Linked DNA regions of Arabidopsis thaliana. The protein of the gene in region 1 interacts with the protein of each later gene in a pairwise test. Each region holds a gene or a part of one and is shown in the gene's direction. Other genes may lie near its edges.

Region 1 (6,454 bases):
TCATGTATTAGGGAAACAATTTCATGATAAAATTTATAAATATTGAAGAATGTAGTATATTATAGAATTCCCAAAAATTTATCCAACCACACAAATTTTTTTTTATGTCCATTCTGCCCGTTTTTATTTATTTATTAATATTAAATATTTTCTACCGTTTTTAAGTTTGAGAGAGAAAATAAAGAGTAAACAATGAAAGTAGAAAAACAAGAAAAACTACGACTAAAAGAACTACGAATACGAGATAACACGATAAGAAAACAAAACGAAGCAACTAACAAAGGTCTCAAGAGGAAACACCGGTTCCGAACTGTAAAGCTCTGTCATTTTTTTGTCTAGGTTTTATTTTATTTTCCCCGATTCCGCAGTTACCATTCAAAAGCCTCGATGGAATGGAAGGATTAAAGAAAAACAAAATAGGAAGTAGAAGCTTTAGGTGAAAGTTAGGTAATAAAGAATCTTGCTTGTTGTATGCTTCTTGTCTTCTTAACTTATTTGGCAATTCTGATGCATACATTCTACTTGAACACACATAAACTAACAAAAATAACCATAACACTAATTTTTAAAGATTCTACAACCACTAAAGATCTTAGCTTCCATTCAACTCCAAGCTTCGTCTTTTTTTTCTTCTTCCTAGATCTCTTACGCAACTAATGTCCATGCATTCCCCCTATATATACACGAGCTAGCAGAAGTTTAACTTGAATATATCAAAACCGAGTTCAATTCACTAAACCAATGAAAATGCAAGCAGTTCTTGTTATCTTGGTTTTCTCCGGTTTACTTTCGGTTAAGACAGCGTTAGCAGCACGACATGTGATCGGCGGGAGCCAAGGCTGGGAACAATCCGTTGATTTTGATTCTTGGTCTTCTGATCAATCTTTCAAAGTCGGCGACCAAATCGGTACGTTTCTCTCTACCCTCAATTTCATAATCAAATCGACCGGTTTAATACTAACCAATCTTTTTTGTTTCTTGTTAGTTTTTAAGTATTCAGAACTACACAGCGTTGTGGAGCTAGGAAGTGAAACAGCATACAAGAGTTGTGACCTGGGAACATCAGTTAATTCCTTAAGCTCTGGAAACGACGTCGTTAAGCTTTCTAAAACCGGTACTCGTTACTTCGCTTGTGGAACCGTTGGGCATTGCGAACAAGGCATGAAGATTAAAGTCAACGTTGTCTCTTCTGACTCCAAATCCGCTTCCTCTCCTTCAGGTTCAGGTTCGGGTTCGGATTCAGGGTCGGGTTCTGGATCTAGTTCAGGTCATGGGTTACGTGCTTCCACTGGATACATGTTCGTTGTTGGATCGTTGGTTATTGGTCTTATTTGGGCTTACTAATAATTGTTTAGGGCTTTTTTGTAATGTATCGAATATATTTGGTGGGGAGAGAATAAATATTTTTGGAATTATTAATTCGTACTTGTTGTTGTATTTTATATAGTTCGGATATTTGCATTTCTGATCTAATTTTCTATATATATCTTGTTTTTCATGTTTTCTCAACCGCTACTCCACTTGATTGGTTGAGTTGGAATATTCTTTTTTTATACTTTCTCATATGACCAATCATTTTTTTTAATTGTCATCAACATTATTAATTTGAATTAGTTTGTTATTTTCTTTATCTATATAAAAAACATTATTAATTTGTTTCATTCCATTGTACACAATTTTAGCGTCGTATATAAAAAATAACATTTCAGCTTCAGCACATCAAATAAACATTTTTATTTATTAAATAAAACATTTCTAATCTAAATAAGACTTGGATAGTTTCTGTTAATACTTTTTTTTTGTCATCGTAAATTTTATTAAAAACAAAATTGTCCATAGAAATTAAGCAGACAATAAATGTTGAAATTTTGGATTTAGATTTAGCGGTTTTGATTGATATAAATCTACTTTTAATATTTTTTTTTGTCATGATCTTATTTTTATTTTGAAACAGAAAATATTATTTTAATTTAAGGAGTATTTAATTCGTTCGAGTTTCTTCTCCCAAAAAAAACATTTTAAAAAAGACGGAGGGAGCGAGAGAGAGAGAGGACAAGTGGGTTGCTGAATTGTGCAGAAATCGTCGTCACTGATCACTTCCGATTCCTTTTTTTTCTCCTTAAATCGCAATTTTCACTCTCCTTTACCTTCGCCGAGAAACTCAATGCCAGAAGATTCAACGGCGATTGACTATGTCATGGAGAAGGCATCGGGGCCTCACTTCTCCGGTCTTCGCCTTGACGGTCTTCTTTCTTCTCCGTCGAAATCCTCCGTCTCTTCTCCTTCTCACTTCCGTTTGAGTAATTCTTCTTTTTCGGCTACCGACGATCCCGCCGCTCCTCATCAGCCCTTCGTTATCGGTTATTTTTCGATTCTCGCTCTTTGATTCTTGCTTTAGTCAACAATCGAACTTTCTCTTATTCCGATCATCGTGTATCATCTCTCAGTTTCTTGAAATTGGTGCTTCTACTGCATTTTATAGGGTTTTATCTTAGGGTTTTAGCTGTACGAATTTTCCGGTAGCATTTGTGCTTCCAAGATTAGAGAAATCTGGATCAAAATCAGTTTCTAGGGTTTAATCCTTTGATTTACTTGAACATGTTTTCCTTTGACTTGTGTAGGAGTTACTGGTGGTACAGCTTCTGGTAAGACGACGGTATGTGACATGATAATCCAGCAACTTCATGATCATCGCATTGTTTTAGTTAACCAGGTTAGATTCTGTACCCGTCCCTGTTCTCAGTATTTTTGTGTGTGGTACTCTGATGCTGTTTTGTTGATTAGGATTCGTTTTACCGTGGTTTGACATCTGAAGAACTTGAGCATGTACAAGAATACAATTTTGATCATCCTGGTGAGTTGTTCTTTTGATTTGTGAACATTGATGTTTTGGTGAAATTTTTTAACGTCTCTTGTTTTTCATTTTCTGCAGATGCCTTTGACACTGAGCAGCTTTTGCATTGCGTTGACATACTCAAGAGTGGGCAACCCTATCAAATTCCAATTTATGACTTCAAGACCCATCAACGTAAAGTAGATGCTTTTCGCCAGGTGCATGGATCTTCTTTTGTTTGACCTCCTTATATGGTTCTTTTCTGCGGTTTTATGGGTTTAGCTTGTAATGTCATGTGGCTGAATCTTCGGATTATCGTTTCTTAAAACCAATCAGTTGTCGCTTTGGTCAGGTCAATGCTTGTGATGTCATCATTTTGGAAGGGATTCTAGTTTTTCATGACTCACGAGTTCGGGACCTAATGAATATGAAGATCTTCGTTGACACAGGTTAACTAGCTGCAGTATCTTGTCTCTCCTTCTTTTTGGTTCTCCTTTATAATATGACCTTATTTGTTCTGCACAACTATAAATGATATAGTGACAATTTTATAGTTTGATGGAAACTGTCCACTTTCTGTTCTGGCTGATGCCTGATGGGGCCTTTGATGGATTAACTCACTAGTCCCACTTTCGCCATTTCATCACTTGTTGACCATTAAGGACTGAATGAATTCCCTTTGGAGCTATATACTTAGCAAACTTTGAATCTTTCTGAAATGTCAATAATCCTCTTTGAAGTTAAAAAGTTCTCATCTTAGCCATTTATTGGTTCCAGATGCTGATGTGAGGCTTGCTCGCAGAATCAGGCGTGACACGGTTGAGAGGGGTAGGGATGTTGACTCTGTGCTTGAACAGGTTAGTCTTTGTTTCAGGTTTTGGGGTAAAATTTGTCACCAAGGTTCACCTATCTTAGTTAGTGCTCTAATGTGTGAATACAAGACAAAGAATTATAGCAGCCTATGGGTTTTTGTGAAATACTGAACAATTCAATGTCTCTCTTGTTGTTCGAGTGACTCTAGCTTAATTCCGCCCTTTGAACTATTCTTCTTTATAACAGTGTTTCTTTCTGAGATTCCTTTATTTTCCACCTTATCTTGTTTTGAGAGTGTTATGTTCATCTGCAGTATGCAAAGTTTGTGAAGCCTGCGTTTGATGATTTTGTGCTCCCCTCAAAGAAATATGCTGATGTGATCATTCCACGAGGAGGTGACAATCACGTTGCAGTTGATTTGATTGTGCAACATATCCACACAAAACTTGGGCAACATGATCTCTGCAAAATCTACCCAAATGTTTTTGTTATTGAAACAACATTTCAGGTAATTTCTGCCTTTTCCTGCTGTTTGATGCTTGATTCAGATGGTAAGGCTTAAAACCATATTCTCACTTTAAGATCATAACTGCAGATAAGAGGCATGCACACTCTCATTCGAGAGAAGGACATATCAAAACATGACTTCGTGTTTTACTCAGATCGCCTCATTCGTTTGGTACTCTTTTTACTCGTGTCATCCCTTTAAATGTTACTCAGCTTCCACGCCTTGTCATTTCAATTGTTGATGCCTTTATTTCAGGTTGTGGAGCATGGTCTTGGCCATTTGCCTTTCACTGAGAAACAAGTAGTTACTCCGACAGGTAGAAGAGGAGATAGATGGCTTGAGCTGTGACTATACTTTATTAAAATAAAATAGTGGTAGTCATTGTGTCTGAAAATCTAGACCAACTTGTTCTTGAGATCCATTAACGTATCATGCTTTGGCATTTGCTGATATATTGCATGCATCCACACGATCATAATTTCTTATCTTCTACAAATCAGGATCTGTGTATAGCGGTGTTGATTTCTGCAAGAAACTCTGTGGGGTCTCAGTCATTCGAAGGTGAGCGTTAAAAGGTATTACGTGTTTTATAGTTCTTAATAGATAGAGACTGGAGCTGTTCAGTTTTCCATTTTGTTTATAATAGATAGTAACATTGGAAGAATACATTGATTGTTTGCGCATGTGGAAGCATACATTGATTGTTTGCTCATGTGTTGAGTGAGTTCCTTTTTTAATTCTTTTCTCTTGCCTAAAGTTTTCTGTTTTGTACGCTTTGTTAGTGGTGAAAGCATGGAAAACGCATTGCGCGCATGTTGCAAAGGGATTAAGATAGGGAAGATTCTCATCCATCGTGACGGAGACAATGGAATGCAGGTCTGTTAATGTTTTGTACTCTTAACAGTTTACAAGGTTCACGTCTCCTTTCTAAAACTCAGAAACTTCCTCGCATATGAATCAGCTTATATACGAGAAGCTTCCAAGTGATATCTCCGAGCGTCATGTCCTGCTATTAGATCCTGTTTTAGGCACAGGTAATTTCAGTTATTTCTATTTCTTTTTCTTCTGCTTTGAAGTATATTTTTTTCTGAATCTTTCCACTTTGGATGATATCTTGAAGGTAACTCTGCAAATCAGGCGATAGAACTACTCATACAGAAAGGAGTACCTGAAGCCCACATTATATTCCTCAATCTTATCTCAGTGAGTGTTAAATCAACCAATGTTCTCTCTCTATCTCTCAGTCAAAAACTTACAATCGATTCTGCATCGTGCAGGCGCCAGAAGGAATCCATTGCGTCTGCAAACGGTTCCCAAAGTTGAAGATTGTGACGTCAGAAATCGATCAGTGTCTGAACGAAGAGTTCAGGGTTATACCAGGCTTGGGTGAGTTTGGTGATCGCTACTTTGGTACCGACGAGTAGAAGAAGTACCAAAGTGTTTGTCAATGGTTATTGTGCTTGTGTGTGAATGGAAGTGTTTTACTTTGTCTAAAGAATCTTCACGGGCTTTGTTTTTTTTTAGTTCCCTCTGCTTGGAAGCTTCTCGCTTACTAATTACTAGAATTGAAAACTCATTTCAAGATTCTTGGCTTAAGCAGTTCATATCCGACGACTTTTTCGTCAACAACACTTTTAAGCATCCCTTATTCATGACAACTTTTAAGAACTTTGATAGATTTCATAAATTTTTAATTTTACACTTATTAAAGTCTTTTGTTTAGTAACAATTATACCATGGGCTAACAATCGGTCCATGAATCTTATTATATAAAGTACGGTTTTGAAAGTTAGTAACTCACGAGATCATGATACGTGTCAGTGAATATATAATTAAAATTAACTATATAATTAAATAAATTTATATTTGAGCTTTATAAAAGTAAATATATATATATATATATATATATATATATATATTATGGGAACCATTGAAAAGCAAACTTTTAATTTTACTTGAATTATATGTTTTTAAATAAAAGTATTATTAAAAAGAAAAATAACAAAATGTTGTTTAATTTTACGAGACGTGGTTATATAGTGGAACGGGCATGTGTCGATATTAATACGAGGCCGTATACCACAGGTGAAATTCTAGATTTTAACAATCAAAATACAATAATACAATTTTTAATACAAAACAAAACAAATACAACTTAAAATTTATTTATTTATATTTATAACAGAATTGATCAGTGGTATACCGTTTCTGACCTCTAAATGCAAAAAAGAAAAACAGTTTATTTTTCTAATAAATCAAAACTGAATGAACTTTATGTTATCGTTCCTACAAACCTCAAA
Region 2 (5,031 bases), on another chromosome or scaffold:
GTTGACATTAAACAAAACAAATTAATGTAAAGATTATTCATAATGGAGTAGCAAAACAAATCTAATTAAACCCAAAATATATAATATATGATATATCTCTAGAAAACTTTTATTTATATCTAGCACCAAATTTTGACTATTTGGATTTTTTGGTCGGGTACTTTAGCCACCGGATATTAAATGCATCATACAAACTTTCAAATTAGGTGGAAACAAAATATATGTACGTATATATATATATATATATATTAATAAATCACTTTCAAAACTTTTAAAAGAAAATAAAAAAAAAGAATTTTAGATAAAAAGTAAAAGAGAAAAAGGGGAATATAAAAATGGAAAACAAATAAAGTTAGGAGAGAGGGCTCACTGTCCGAAGCAAAGAAAGAAATAGCAAAGTGAGTTAGACATGTGAGAGAGAAGAGATTCAAGTGTGTCCCCATTCTCTTTCCTATCCTTTAGTCAACAACACATCTCTCTCATATTTGGATATTTCTAATCAAGATCAAACTTTTTACAACAAGATTTGATTTTTTTTGTTCTTTTAAAATCTTAATTTGAATTAAGATGATATGAAGTCATTTCATACTAGTCTTGCCTCTTGTCAAAGTGTAACTGAATGAAATTTCAAGATTATATATTTATAAGAAAACCTAAAATTTTTAGATATATTTTGAAATAATCTTATAATTATCTATACTAATTAAAAATAAATTATAAATATATTATAGAGCAGTTGACCAAAAAAAATTACAGATAACTATTGAAGATATATAGACATGATTAGTTGAGGTGTAGAAAGTTTGTAAAGCCACTAAAATAGCTCCAAAATTGAAATAATCATGTTGTAGTTTTTTCTTTTTTCTAGCAAGAATAATATATTTTTGATTATTTTAAAAGGTTTGTACATTTTTCTCTTTTTATTTTCACTTTATTTTTTTAGTTTCTTTAGAAACATTATTATACTTTTCATATATATATATTGAATTTATCTTCAAATTTTGCATACATATTTTACCCACTAAACATGATTCCATATAAAAACGGAAAAAGTGTGTCACAGAAGAAATAATATATTACATGATATAATAATCTAAAATGTCAACTGTTTTCTTTAGAATATGTTAGAAAAGATTTTTTTTTTAAATCTTTATTGGTAGCAATGTTTATGAGAATAAAGCACATAATTGTCTCTCAATGACTAATAAATTTCGGTTTCAGTCAAAGATCTAACGAGATATTAGATTTGTAATAATCATCAAAGAAAGTCTATCCTTTTTATTAAAAACAAATATTCTTAAACAAACTAATACTTTAAATAAACTATTCTTAAACAAACTAATACATTAAATATTCTTAAACAAACTAATACATTAAATATTCTTAAACAAATATTCTTAAACAAACTATGCTTAAATCTTTCATAATAATCTTTCTCTCAATTGAATTTATCTTTCACAAAATTAAATAACAAATCAATTAAAGAGATATATAAATACGAAAAACAATGGTCGTCACTCTCGTTCAGCTTCTTTAGTTTTCTTCTAACTTTCAGAGAAAGACCTCTCTCAATTCAAAAGTTCACAATATTAAAAGTATAAATCAGAATCATTAAACTGTTAGTCTCTCTCTCTCTCTCTCTCTCTCTCTCTCTCTCTCTCTCTCTCTCTCTCTCTCTCTCTCTCTCTCTCTCTTTTTCTCTTCTTCTCCCTGAATTGTCTCATCTGTCTTCTTCCTTTGTCTCTCCTCTGATATACATTGTGTTCTCCTTCTCAGAAACCCTAGATTTCTCTCAATCAAATCTAGCTTTTCTCTTAGGGGGAGATTTGATTTTTTTCTCTGCAAGACTGTAACAGTAGGAGAAGCTACTTTCCTCTGTTTTCTTAATTTCAAATCTGCAATCGTACTTTTTCGAGTTCTATAAGTGAACTCAGATTTTAGCTTTTTTTTTTTAGGGTTCATAAGAACAAATTGGATTTTGAGCTCACAGTATAAATAACCCGACTTTGATTACTGGGTAATTTTAAAACCGCCATTGTTGTTCTCTTTACTACTTTTGGGAATTAGGGTTTATGATTTCTGGGTATTAGATTAGATAAATTTGTTTCCTTTTTTTGTTAATCAATTTAAAAATCTCTTATTTCTGTTAAAGACTTGTAATTTTGGAGTTTTTAATGCATGGACGGAAGAGAAGCAATGGCATTTCCAGGCTCGCATTCTCAGTACTATCTTCAAAGAGGAGCCTTTACTAATCTCGCACCTTCCCAAGTCGCGAGTGGGCTTCACGCGCCGCCGCCACATACGGGATTGAGGCCAATGTCTAACCCTAACATTCATCACCCTCAGGCTAACAATCCAGGACCTCCTTTCTCGGATTTTGGACACACCATTCACATGGGAGTGGTCTCCTCTGCTTCTGATGCTGATGTGCAACCGCCACCGCCACCGCCACCACCAGAGGAACCGATGGTTAAGAGGAAACGTGGACGGCCAAGAAAGTATGGAGAACCGATGGTTAGTAATAAGTCTAGGGACTCTTCTCCAATGTCTGATCCTAATGAACCTAAACGGGCCAGAGGTCGACCTCCTGGAACTGGAAGGAAGCAACGCTTGGCTAATCTTGGTGAGATCTCGAGTTTTCTATTCTGTGTACTTTGTCAAGTTAAGTTTTTGCTTTAGCTCTGTTAGCTAGTCTTGAAGGACATGAGCTTGAATCTTATGGATGCTAGAAGCTTTGAATGATTCTATAGTTAAGTTAGGTTTTGTTACTTTGTCGTTACTGATACTCAATATTGATTGTTGGCTATTAGTTTGACGGATCTATGTGTGGTACAATGCTAGGTGAGAGGAGTAATTGGTTATTAGTAGATGTGGACGAAATCGACTTCTTGATTTAAGTTATTGATTTAGGTTTTTAAGCTGTGAAAGAGTAATCTTACTAATCCATTCATGTTTAAGTAATTGGTCATCATAATGTGATTAATCAAACTTTAAGTAATAGCAAACTCTTGACTCTGATAATTTCTTTAGGTGAGTGGATGAATACTTCAGCTGGACTTGCTTTTGCACCTCATGTGATCAGCATTGGAGCAGGAGAAGTAAACTGACCAAAACTCCTTTATATATTAATGATCATTTATGCAGCTTTTCATTGTATCAATTTCCTTTTATTTTTCTTTGCAGGACATTGCTGCGAAAGTTTTGTCATTTTCACAACAAAGACCTCGGGCTCTTTGTATAATGTCAGGCACTGGAACCATTTCTTCAGTCACTCTGTGCAAACCCGGTTCAACCGATCGTCACTTAACATACGAGGTTTCAAAGTCGTTCATTCAGTTAATCGAAAAAGAAAAACCTGAAAAGATTTCTTATTTAATCCTCTTTCTGTGTTTCTTAGGGACCTTTTGAGATTATAAGTTTTGGTGGATCTTATTTGGTGAATGAAGAAGGTGGATCCAGAAGTCGAACAGGCGGATTGAGTGTCTCTCTTTCTCGTCCCGATGGTAGTATTATTGCCGGTGGAGTTGACATGCTTATCGCAGCCAACCTTGTTCAGGTATATTAAATTCTTCTTCTTAATGGTTGTAAAGTGAAGCTAAAACGAGGCGAAACTAACTACGAATGTTAGCCTTTGATATGTTTGTGCTGTCACTTTCTTTCCTCTTCAAGATATCATGTGGTAGTGTTTGAAAAACTTGTTTGTTATTCAGGTGGTGGCATGTAGTTTTGTATACGGAGCAAGGGCAAAGACTCATAATAACAATAACAAGACCATCAGACAAGAAAAGGAACCAAATGAAGAGGACAACAATAGTGAAATGGAGACCACACCGGGTAGTGCAGCTGAACCAGCAGCATCTGCGGGTCAGCAGACGCCACAGAACTTCTCTTCTCAGGGAATAAGGGGGTGGCCCGGTTCAGGCTCAGGCTCTGGCAGATCACTTGACATTTGCAGAAACCCACTCACTGATTTTGATTTGACTCGTGGATGATATACACTATTAGTCTTTGAAGCAGCAGCATACAAAATGTGATTGCTGTACATATGTTATTGTAGATTTCTCTCTGGGAATGTTGAAATCAGACATTTAAGGATTGATACTAGATCTCTCAGCTCCTTCTAACATTGTTAATGTAACAGAACCCTCCCACTTTCATGCTATTTTAGGAGATTTTTTTAACTCTTTTATGATCTCATTGTGGTCATCAAGAACTTGGTTTCTTTACTAGTTCACTATTTTTCTTTCAGGTTCTTTAACATATTTAGTAAACTTGATTCCTCTTATTTGGTAGACAATGTGTAATTCAACACACACAAGATTTAGGATCCTTAATTTATAGGAAGATGACAAGCTCATAATTTATACATGAAAAGCATTAAATATTAATGAATATATATCCTCAAATTGACTTAAATTTCTTTTTCAGTCAGAAATCTAATGAGACATTAGATTTTGTTATAAACCATTGAAGAAAGTCTATATCCTTTTTAATAAAAAAAATTCTTAAACAACCCAATTTATTTTTTTTGTAAACCAATTGAATATTTTTTTTTGACAAAATTAATTAAAGAAATAGTATATAAATAGAAACAATGGTCTTCACTTCCTTTCTCTTCTTTTTTTTTCTTTCCTTTTTTTTTTCTGAGATTTGCTTTCTCTACCAGAGAGACTGTAACAGTAGTAGTAGCTACTTTTGCTTGTTGTCTTCATTTCAAATCTGCAATTTTACTTTCTTTTTGAGTTCTAAGTGAACTCAACATTTAGCTTCTTTTTCTTTTCTAGGTTTCATAAAAACAGTTTGGATCTTAAGCTCACAGCTGAAAATAACCCGACTTTGATTACTGGGTATATAAAAGCCGCCATTGTTGTTCTTTTCACTCTTTGGGTTATTAGGGTTTACGATTTCTGGGTGGTAGATAAATTTGTTCTTCAAAAAAGTTTCCTTTTTTAAAAAATCTCTTAGATTCTTAAAGAATTGTAATTTAGGGTTTTAAATGCATGGATGGGAGAGAAGCTATGGCATTTCCAG

Evidence for each region.
Region 2: the proteins of UKL2 (region 1) and AT1G63480 interact in a two-hybrid assay, tested with the Arabidopsis thaliana proteins (one large-scale study listed by BioGRID).

What each region holds. Positions count from the first base shown.
Region 1 is NC_003074.8:10,038,628-10,045,081, reverse strand, and holds UKL2 (uridine kinase-like 2), read left to right. Parts: upstream 1-2,015; 5' UTR 2,016-2,164; coding exon 2,165-2,360; intron 2,361-2,621; coding exon 2,622-2,713; intron 2,714-2,784; coding exon 2,785-2,854; intron 2,855-2,932; coding exon 2,933-3,051; intron 3,052-3,185; coding exon 3,186-3,282; intron 3,283-3,610; coding exon 3,611-3,690; intron 3,691-3,959; coding exon 3,960-4,154; intron 4,155-4,241; coding exon 4,242-4,325; intron 4,326-4,409; coding exon 4,410-4,470; intron 4,471-4,654; coding exon 4,655-4,715; intron 4,716-4,936; coding exon 4,937-5,030; intron 5,031-5,115; coding exon 5,116-5,188; intron 5,189-5,274; coding exon 5,275-5,357; intron 5,358-5,431; coding exon 5,432-5,578; 3' UTR 5,579-5,884; downstream 5,885-6,454. Other genes in the region: AT3G27200 (Cupredoxin superfamily protein), read left to right, coding at 742-907, 986-1,344. UniProt on the Arabidopsis thaliana protein: Involved in the pyrimidine salvage pathway. Phosphorylates uridine to uridine monophosphate (UMP). Phosphorylates cytidine to cytidine monophosphate (CMP).
Region 2 is NC_003070.9:23,538,833-23,543,863, reverse strand, and holds AT1G63480 (AT hook motif DNA-binding family protein), read left to right. Parts: upstream 1-1,630; 5' UTR 1,631-2,178; coding exon 2,179-2,623; intron 2,624-3,030; coding exon 3,031-3,098; intron 3,099-3,183; coding exon 3,184-3,315; intron 3,316-3,397; coding exon 3,398-3,556; intron 3,557-3,710; coding exon 3,711-3,992; 3' UTR 3,993-4,307; downstream 4,308-5,031. Other genes in the region: AT1G63470 (AT hook motif DNA-binding family protein), read left to right, coding at 5,001-5,031. UniProt on the Arabidopsis thaliana protein: Transcription factor that specifically binds AT-rich DNA sequences related to the nuclear matrix attachment regions (MARs).